2 linked regions of the Drosophila melanogaster genome follow. Changing the gene in region 2 together with the main gene of any one other region gives a genetic interaction. Each region holds a gene or a part of one and is shown on either strand. Other genes may lie near its edges.

Region 1 (5,583 bases), on a different chromosome or scaffold from region 2:
AATGCGGCACTATCATTACAGGGTACTCCAATGATCTACCCATCCGATTTGGACACTTTCCGGCTCATGACTTGCCACCACTCAATCTGACGATTGCCCACTGCCACTCATTCATTAGAAGATTGTCCGACCCTATCAACATGGACGTGCGGCCACTCGGAGCTGATCTTAAGATAGGTGCCAATAAGCCCCCATTCATGCCCAGAGCCACAACTCAATGGAACACTCGAACAGGAGCGCACAGAGATTAGGGCACACGTCCTGTGGTCATTCAAAAGTAGTATTACAGTATAATTCGCTTAGCTGCATCGATAGTTAGCTGCATCGGCAAGATATCTGCATTATTTTTCCATTTTTTTGTGTGAATAGAAAATAGAAAATAGAAAAAAAAAAATTAAGTTAGCTGCATTTTTAAGTTACCTGCATCGAGGCATTGTGCAAAGTACTCGAGGCAGCTAAGCGAATTATACTGTACTTAACGTTCGTAAGTGCGCTACATTGTTTAGGTTTTAATATTAAACGCACTCCCATTAAAGTTATTAAAATTAAAATTTAAAACAATAAACTAAACATTTACAAGTAAAAAGTGAAATATTTTAAAGACGAAAGTTGTATTATTTTTTAGAAATATATTTCATATATTTAATAAATATATCACTTCGCTTTTGTGATTTGTCAGTATAATAATCCTTTGGAATATATAATCTTTTGGTAAATATATATATTATTTCATTATCTGATTATTGACTAGTATAGACCACAGTTGCTAGTATTCCTACTTATGTCTATCATGGCTACATATATAGTGTTTAATCATGTTTTCCAGATAACAAGTGTTCGATTGCCAAGAAACCATCCCATTTCTTAGCCATTCATGGCTTCTTATCTATAAGACGTTTATTATAGATTCGGATTCTGCATGACTAGACTTTTGAAACTTAAAAATATCCATGTGATTTTTTAAATGTAATAAAACCAGAAACATAAAGGCGTCAAATTAATTGTTATGCATTTCGTTTATTTAAAAATAAAGATAATCAAGCTTAGTAGTAAGCAACGCCGGAGTTGTCGCGGATCCAGTCCAGCTGGTTGGTAACACGGGTGAATCCGGAGGGCAGGCCAGCGGTGCAACCGTTGCCGGAAACCCAGGAGGTGACACCCACCAGGCGGCCACCGTCGTGGAGAACCAGGGGGCCACCGGAGTCACCGGAGCAGGTGGACTTTCCGCCGGAGGTGGACACACAGAGGATGCCATCGGGCTGGGTGCCGTAGGTGCGGGAGCATTCCGAGTTGCTAATGATCTGCAGGTCGACGCACTCCATCCAATCGGGCTGGGATCCGGCGGTGGTCAGTCCCCAACCGCAGGCGACGGCCCAATAGTTGTCGTACATGTTGTAGCGATCGTTGAAGCTGGGCAGCTCCACCTTGTTAACCATGTGCCAGAAGTCCACGTGGGGGGTGCGGATCAAGGCGATGTCGTTGCCGTTCTGGTTGGGCCAGTTGTGGTTCTGGATGAAGTCGCCGCTGCCGACGGTGTGGGTGAACTGGGCGTTGGTGCGCCAGGTGGCTCCGTAGTAGATGGTCACCTGGGAGGCGCCGTTGGTGCAGTGAGCAGCAGTCAGGACCCAATCGTGGGCGATGATAGAACCACCGCACCACCAGCCGCCGTTGCCGCTGAAGCCCAGACCCACGGTGTAGGGAGCCTTGCCCTCGTAGGCTGGATATCCGTTCACAATGCGGCCATTGATCTTGGTGTCCTTGGGCAGGTCCTTGGGATGAACCTGCTGGACAGTCTCGGCGGAGACAGCGGCCAAAGCCAGAGCCAGTACAACGAACACTTTCATGGTGATTGGATCAATCGTGGTCTGCGCCAGACTTCCATCCGTTTTTATTGCGCCCCTTATCGCTGTCTGGAGTAGCCCCCACTCGGCGTTATCCTATCTCTAAGAAATTCGCCCTCTGATACCAATGGAAATTAATTGATAGCACGTCTAAGAACATCTTGATAGGCAAAAAAAATAATAACTCGCTTTTAGGAAAAATTCTAAGCTGATTATCTTCGCTTACAACCGACGTAGGCAATATAAGAAAACAGAAATGATTTTAATTTAATTTAAGGACTAAATAATTTATACATAATATATACATAATAATGTATACATAGAGTATGTAAAATGTAAAAATAATTTAAAATAGGCGCCCAATGTAAGATGTAAGGATTGAAAAATGGCTCACCTGGTCACACAGAGCCATGCATTTATTGTTTATATATTCCGCCAAATTTTATCAATTGATGTCGCAGCATGTCCACTTGCAGTTCATCCGAGATAGCGGAGAAGAAGCGCATTGCGCTGGCCAAATTGCAGGCCAAGAAATCCCAGCTGCTGGCCAGCGCACCCGCAACCAATGGAAAATCAACAACGTCTGCAACAGGTGCGACGCAACATGCGAATAATGGAAAATCAAATCCCAATCAACCGCAGGCCAAATCCCCATTGAATTTCTACCGATCACCGACGGGGGAGCAGAAGAAGATCAACAGGAGCGGTCCCACGCCCGGTGACAACAAGAGCTCATCCTTTCTGAACGCTCTGAAAGCAATCAAACAGACATCCAACCGGGAATTGTCCCGCGGAGCAGCACATCCTTACCAGCGGCCAAATGGAGGGAACGAAAGAAACAAGCCCACTCTTTCACTGAGTTCGGATAAGGAGAAACCGGTGGCTGTGCTACTCGGAAACTCCATCACGTGTAATCTCTACTTGATCAGCACACATCGGTTTGCTGCCCAAACCTCAGGATATCACGAACAGCTCGTGACCGTGTTCAAGAACATGCCCACCAAGTGCTACGATGGCCAAACCCGTATCTGGAGTTTCGATCTGTCGGACTACCAATCCCTGAAAACTCATGCAGCGGATCTAAAGCCATATGTTCACATGAATGGCATTCCGAAGAAGGTGCTGGATCTCTGCGGCCAGCCGCCAGTAGTTCCGGAAAGAAGTGTTTTAGCTTCCATAGAACCGAAGCTGGCGGACCAGCTAATGCCCTTCCAACAGGATGGGGTATGGTAAGCATTGCTTGTATGCTATGTACTTCCAAAAGCGCTAAATTTATCATATGTTTAGCTTTGCCATAGCCCAAAAGGGACGCATTATGATCTGTGATGAAATGGGCCTGGGCAAAACCTATCAGGCCTTGGCCGTAGCCGACTATTTCAAGGATGATTGGCCCTTGCTTGTCTGCACCACCGCTTCTACGAGAGACAGTTGGGCGAAACACATAATGGATCTACTGCCGAAGGTGCCCATCCACTATGTCCAGGTGCTGAACAACAATCAGCTATATGTGGGTGAGGCCAAGGTGCTAATCACCAGCTACAATATGATGGAGCGACACGAAGATAAGCTGATGCAGCGGAAGTTTGGTTTCATCATCTTCGACGAGTCGCACACGCTGAAGAACAGCAAGGCCAAGTGCACGACAACGGCCAAAAGACTCACGGATCAGGCGAAGCGGGTGGTTTTGCTATCCGGCACACCGGCTCTCTCCCGGCCATTGGAACTTTTTACGCAACTGCAAATGATTGATGGCAAATTCATGAATTTCATGGAGTTCAGTATGTCAAGAATGTCTGTTTACCTTAGAACGCGCTTATATCGATTAACACATTCACAGCTACTCGTTATTGTGATGGAAAGCAGTCAACTTTTGGTTGGGATGCCAATGGTCAATCGAATTTGGAGGAACTGAAGGTCATACTTCACCTTAAATATATGCTGAGGCGAACGAAAGTGGAGGTGCTGCCTCAACTCGCTGAGAAGAACCGGTGGGTTGTTCACATTGTTGTATATCTATAATATATTTTCTAACATTTCGAACATTCTTCCATCCGCAGTGAGACTGTCGTCCTGGATCCCGCCCTAGTGTGGACCAATGCGGAGACCAAGGAAACCTTGGATGCGTTTAACAAAGAGCTTAAAACCGCTAAAGGCAGGGCAACGGAAGAGATCTTACTCCGTTTCTATGCACGCACTGCCGAAGTGAAAACTCGAGCGGTCTGGTAATAAAAAAAATCATTAAAACCATATAAACCATCTGAAGTTAATGTATTATCCTGCATTATAGCGCCTACCTAAAAACCTTAGTTAAGGAGCAGAAAAAGTTCATTATCTTTGCCCACCATCGTGTCATGATGGACGCCATTAGCGACTTCCTCAGTGGATTGAAAGTACACTACATACGTATTGATGGACAAACGCGTAGCGATCACAGGTCGGATTCTGTGGACACGTTCCAAAAGAAGAGCAGTTGTAAGGTGGCCCTGCTCTCCCTAAAAGCCTGCAATTCAGGAATAACGCTAACTGCAGCTGAGATCATAGTGTTCGCTGAACTGGACTGGAATCCTAGCGTAAGCTTCGCTTATATGTTAACTTGGAGAACGCTTAAATTTAGTTTTATTTTATGTGCAGACTCTTGCCCAGGCGGAGAGCCGTGCCCATCGCATTGGTCAGACAAAACCGGTGATTTGTCGCTATCTGATTGCTCACAATACGGCAGACGATATAATCTGGAACATGCTGAAAAATAAGCAAGAGGTGCTTAGTAAAGTGGGCATCTTTGCCGAAAATCTTCAGAAAGCAACACACACAGCAGCACCCACTTCAGTAAGATACATTTTGAATACTTTGAAAAATGTATTTTTCGCTAACTCAACTTTTTTTTTAGTCCCACAAGATCGAGGAGTACTTCTCGCCCTCCACGTCCACCTCCCTTGAACCGGAAAGGAATAGCATAAAACAATATTTTTCAACTATTCCAGCTAAAGAGCCGCCTGAGCAAAATAATAATACAGAAATGACCAAAGTAAACAAGGCTGAGTCGGATATCGCGGCGTTCTTTAACGATGATGATGATGAGGCTTTTTTGGAATTAGATATTTAGATTGTGTAATGGAATTTAATCCTAGAATGTTTATTGAGTTAATCGTAATAAATTGTATTTGAGAATGTTATAGCATTGAATGAAACTTGTTGAACGCACTTCTGCGCATGCTCCACGTTTGCAGAACTCTTTTCAGATAGCCGGTTTCATGTGACCTGGCAACAGGCAAACAAACACTCAAGTAAACCTTTTCACTTGTATCAAATAAATAAATACACAGCAAGTTAAGTTTTGTACAATAATAGCTAAATAATATGGATACTACGCAGGAATCTGATCTGCTGGGCGAAGAGGAGGAGTTGGAGAATGAGAACGACGTATCCTTTCCGCGTGATATCGTCAGTGTAGAGTGAGTACGGAATTGGAAGTTGATAACTTTTTCTTGATTGGAAAACTTCTGCTGCAGACACTCCTTTGGTTACGATTGTAAGAAGCTGTTTAATTTGGTCCTTGTGGATTCAGACACGCTGGTTTTTGCCTCTGGAAACTTCCTCAACTACTTTAGCATTTCGCGCCAGGAGATTTCCTTTCAGGAAACGGTCTACGGCTGCGGAGTGGGCTTTATAACGGTGAGCTTTTTAGTACCTTTGAGTACCTTTGTATGATCTAATGGTACTCCATTGCCAGAAAAACGAGCAT
Region 2 (4,828 bases):
AGTTTACTAAGAGGAATTTGGATTTCCAGCTCCACAGATGGCTCGAACACACCGGGGGGAGGATAGCTACCAGCTGGGGATTGAAGCTGAACGAGGTCCTTCGCTGCCGACACCTTCTGTTTAGCTGCTCCTCCTCTCCTCTGCTGTTTGAGGGAACACAAGGAACTAGGACTTATATCCAGCAACTTTCCACCACTTATGGAATTATTATCGACAACAATTCTCAGGGGAGAATTACTGGCCGACGAGCCAGCTCCGCTCACAGACGTAGGTTGCTCTAGGAGATGTCTTTTTTTGGGCGTTAGCGCAGATTTTACGCTCCTAGCATTAAACTGGGCTTGCGATTTGGTAGACGCAGTGCTCTTAGCAGCCGCCGCGGCTGCAGCCCAGGCCTCTGCGTTCAATTTCCCATTGGCGAATGCTACTTCCGCCGGCGGACGCTCTCCTGGAGTCAAAAGATAGTGGCGCTTTTTCAACGGCAACTTGTGATCATCGGGACTGGAACTGTCATTGCTTTGAGATTTCTTGTGTCGTCGTTTGGTATTTCCATTACTGCTTCCGCTGCCATTGGGAGTTCCACTAGCGCTAGCTGATAGCATAGCGAAGTCCACTAGGGGCTCACTCAGCTTTCTCTTCTTTAGGCCCCGTTTTAATGGTTTGGAAAGGGTGGAAGCTGGTCCTCCTCCATTCAGAGTCAACTGCTGGGCAGGGCTTGGTGCTGCTAGGGTGGCCTGCAGCTTGTTGGCATCGGCCAATAGCTTCTCTTTGCCACTGCTTCCGGTCAAACGATCATCTTGGATGCGACACCTTGAGTTGAAGGTGCTTGTGATTATCTCGATTTCGGTGAGCAGCTTGGAATCAATGTTCAATGATTTGTTGTGACTGAAACTCTTCCGGCGATGTCTGCGACGCATTCTAGACACCCCAGACACATAGCTGCTGCACATACTGGCTGCCGATGAGCGGCGAGATTTAATCTTGCAGGACGATTTGCTGGGAGCCGGGGTTTCTTTACGCTGGTTCATCATTTTACTAATGAAGTTATCCGGGTTGGTGGCAGACAAACTACCGCCTCGACCGAAATACTGCCCGGTGGTCACATAGCGATTGATTTCGCCGTACTTCTTGCTGGCACTTGTCGTGGGAAGGCTTTTAAGGCTCGGCTTACTGATGTATTCGTTGCTCTCCTCACTGCTCTGGCCCAGAGATAATCCAGCTAGCTGAAGGATGTCCTGGTCCTCGACAGTATCGTCTGCTGAGCTCTTCAAGAGCATGGAAGCCCGGCGCTTCCGCCTCATCCTTAGGCCTGACTTTCCAGATTCCTTGCAATCACTCCGGTAGCCGCAGCTCTTTGCCCTGCTCCTGCGACTCATACAACTCTTGGTGCTGTATCGACTCTTGCAGCTGGCATCGGACTTGTAACCGGAGTTGTGGTTGTGGCTGCTCCGCTGATGTCGTACGCTTCCGTAATCCGAGACGTAACCGCTCTTAGCGGCCAAGACCTTACTGCAAATAGTGGTGCTTGCTCCTGTTCCACTAGCCGCACCCACACTCATACTCCTCAGCCTAAACTTCTTGTTCACGTCGATCTCTCGCCACAGCGGATCAAGCTGAAGTTCCTCTTTGTTGGATGAACTGCAGGCTGTCTTTTTATTGTTCTGCCGTCGCTTACTCCTGGGCGGTGGATAGAGCACCCGCTCAGTGGCATACATTCGCTTGTCCAGATACGCCATGTCGATCTTAGGCTTGCTGCTGGAGGCGATTGGCAGCGATCCCGTCGGCACAGCATTCTCATTTTGCATTTTCGGGGAGGGAGTAGTGCTCTGCGTTGTGCTAGTGGTGCTTATCACACCCGAATCGGCAGATTCGTTTATAGCAGGGCCAGAGTTTCCTGGGGCAGGAACTGTGGGAACCACTTTTTTGGGTCTACCTCTGCGCTTTCGAGGAACAGCTGTTTGGACTAGGGTCTCCTCCTTAGCTTTAGCCACTTTCTCCTCCGCAAGCTTCGCATTGACGGTCTGCCCCAGCATCTGAGTCTTCTCCATGAAGTCTTGCAGCAAAGTTGACTGGTACTGGGGTAGGTTCTTGTCCTTGGCCGCTTTGCGGAAACTTCCTTCCACAGTTGTGTCCTCCGTATCGCTCTCCACTCGCTTGATAGCCGCCTGCACCAGGTTAGGTAACTCGTTGTCGCTGGACGAGATTCCGATATCGAGGGTGGGTTTGCTGGCCGACTGTGCCGCCTGGATGATAGCACTTAGCAGCACTCGCGGAGCTCTCTGCTGATGCACCTTCAAGGGCAGATCGTCCTCTGAGTCCGAGGAAAATGCCGAGATCTGTGACTTCTTAGACTTAGACACTTTGTCCGATTTACTAATCCCACTGGAACTTGCCAGCTTCTTGCGCTTGACCTTCACTTTCTTGCTGACCGCTCTATTTTTGGCCTCCGAGCAGCCGGACTCGGTGTCCTGGGTAGACATTTTTCTGGACTTTGGGGGTTTCTTGGTTGCTACGACTCCTAACGTGGGGCGGATGGCCGAGATTCTCATTCGCAGTCCATCGGTGTCCGAACGCTGCACGCTAAACTGGGTGGCTGACTTGATCGACTTCGACTGGCTCGATTGATCCGTAATGGAATCGGTTTCCTGAGGAGAACAACACACTTTACATATAGCATTGCATAAAGGGTGCCATTTTAAAGACTTGCCTCATTTTCACTGCCGGATTCTTGTGCGCGTTGCGTTTCCAGAACCTTTGCTGCTGCCGTCTCATTTTGGCTACAGCTCATATTTTGGAGTCGCTGGGGAGCTGCAAAGGTTCGCTTTTGTTAGCCAAGTGTTTTTAATTCGATTTGGTGGCACTCTTAATCGCCTTTAAAGTAGGTCAAACCGCGGTGACATCGTCCAAAAAAAAAACCATTACCTACAGCACACTTACGCTTGATTGTTTTCTGGGCTAGTAGTAGACCTCAGTAGTCGGTTTCGTTTGTGCCGAAATGACAATCTATTGCTGCACACATTGCATTTGCACTTTTCTTGAGCCTTAGGCCGTGGCTTGCCTGCTTCTAAAATGGCGCCGTTTTCACTTTCCCAAAAACTGCTTTGTTCGACGCCCGACGACGGCGCAACGTTGCAACGCTTCTCGCATGTGGCACATTAATCCGCGGTACCGATAATTCACTTTTTTCGCGACTAGTGGGCGGTGGCGGGGCGCATCAATTGTTATTGTTAATGTGGCGCAACAACAAAAAGCCAGGCAACCAAAAATTTACGAACATAAATAAAGAAAAAGACTGCGTTTCAGTGTGCCCAGCTGGGGTGTACGTGATGTCTACGCGACAGTGTGACCTTGCGGCGGAATTTAGCAGGCAACTATCGCGAACAATAGTGGATTCTATTCAAAAATAGCTGGAAAAAAACAAGCCGATTATTGTATAACAATGTGAAACCAGTAATATTAATATGACATTTTTTATGAATTAAAAATGAATTCTTATATTTTTTTTACTATTGTAACTAAATATTTGTTATGGGAATATATTCCTTACATGAACTCGCAAATAGCAAAATTTTAGGTGACCATAAAACTAATTATAGCAGACGATATGAAACAACAAAAAAGCCAGAATAGCTAGATTTTCTCTTTTGGGTGTGTGCACACTGGCCGAGCAGCTCGGCGATTATTATTTGTTTATTTGTAAAAACCTGGGAAATGAGTGGAAAACCGTCGAAACCGAGCAGCCCCTCCAGCAGCATGCTGTACGGCTCCAGCATCTCGGCGGAGTCCATGAAGGTGATCGCGGAGAGCATCGGAGTGGGCTCCCTGTCGGATGACGCCGCCAAGGAACTAGCGGAGGATGTGTCCATCAAGCTGAAGAGGATTGTACAGGATGCGGCCAAGTTCATGAACCACGCCAAGCGGCAGAAGCTCTCAGTGCGGGACATCGACATGTCCCTTAAGGTGCGAAATGTGGAGCCGCAGTACGGTTTCGTAGCCAAGGACTTCATTCCATTCCGCTTCGCATCTGGCGGAGGACGGGAGCTGCACTTCACCGAGGACAAGGAAATCGACCTAGGAGAAATCACATCCACCAACTCTGTAAAAATTCCCCTGGATCTCACCCTGCGCTCCCATTGGTTTGTTGTGGAGGGAGTGCAACCCACTGTGCCCGAAAACCCCCCTCCGCTCTCGAAGGATTCCCAGTTACTGGACTCGGTCAATCCAGTTATTAAGATGGATCAAGGCCTAAACAAAGATGCGGCAGGCAAACCCACCACCGGCAAGATACACAAGCTGAAAAACGTGGAGACCATTCATGTCAAGCAACTGGCCACGCACGAGTTGTCCGTGGAGCAGCAGTTGTACTACAAGGAGATCACCGAGGCGTGCGTGGGATCTGATGAGCCGCGGCGCGGGGAAGCGCTGCAGTCGCTGGGATCCGATCCTGGCCTGCACGAAATGCTTCCCCGCATGTGCACCTTCATTGCCGAGGGAGTTAAGGTCAATGTGGTTCAGAACAACTTGGCGTTGCTTATTTACCTCATGCGCATGGTTCGTGCGCTTCTGGATAATCCTTCGCTGTTTCTGGAGAAATACGTAAGAAATTTCTTATTGTATTGTTCTTTGTTTCTCATAAAAACGATGTTGTCTCCGCATAGCTCCACGAACTGATACCCTCGGTGATGACGTGCATTGTGTCCAAACAGCTGTGTATGCGCCCCGAGCTGGACAATCACTGGGCCCTGCGAGACTTTGCCTCCCGACTGATGGCTCAAATCTGCAAGAACTTCAATACCCTAACCAACAATCTGCAAACCCGTGTCACCCGGTA

Evidence for each region.
Region 1: of ash1 (region 2) and Marcal1, changing one suppresses a phenotype caused by changing the other (phenotypic suppression), as found in Drosophila melanogaster (one study listed by BioGRID).

What each region holds. Positions count from the first base shown.
Region 1 is NT_033779.5:4,953,280-4,958,862, forward strand, and holds Marcal1 (Marcal1), read left to right. Parts: upstream 1-2,229; 5' UTR 2,230-2,303; coding exon 2,304-3,070; intron 3,071-3,128; coding exon 3,129-3,619; intron 3,620-3,678; coding exon 3,679-3,829; intron 3,830-3,898; coding exon 3,899-4,063; intron 4,064-4,128; coding exon 4,129-4,411; intron 4,412-4,472; coding exon 4,473-4,667; intron 4,668-4,728; coding exon 4,729-4,944; 3' UTR 4,945-5,013; downstream 5,014-5,583. Other genes in the region: Jon25Bi (jonah 25Bi), read right to left, coding at 1,044-1,844; CG34124 (uncharacterized protein), read left to right, coding at 5,199-5,293, 5,351-5,513, 5,572-5,583. UniProt on the Drosophila melanogaster protein: ATP-dependent annealing helicase that catalyzes the rewinding of the stably unwound DNA.
Region 2 is NT_037436.4:19,595,452-19,600,279, forward strand, and holds the start of ash1 (absent, small, or homeotic discs 1), read right to left. Parts: upstream 3,305-4,828; 5' UTR 2,935-3,304; exon of another isoform or gene 2,920-2,934; intron 2,806-2,919; 5' UTR 2,786-2,805; coding exon 2,705-2,785; intron 2,643-2,704; coding exon 1-2,642. Other genes in the region: Taf6 (TBP-associated factor 6), read left to right, coding at 3,709-4,593, 4,656-4,825. UniProt on the Drosophila melanogaster protein: Trithorax group (TrxG) protein that has histone methyltransferase activity. Specifically trimethylates 'Lys-4' of histone H3 (H3K4me3), a specific tag for epigenetic transcriptional activation.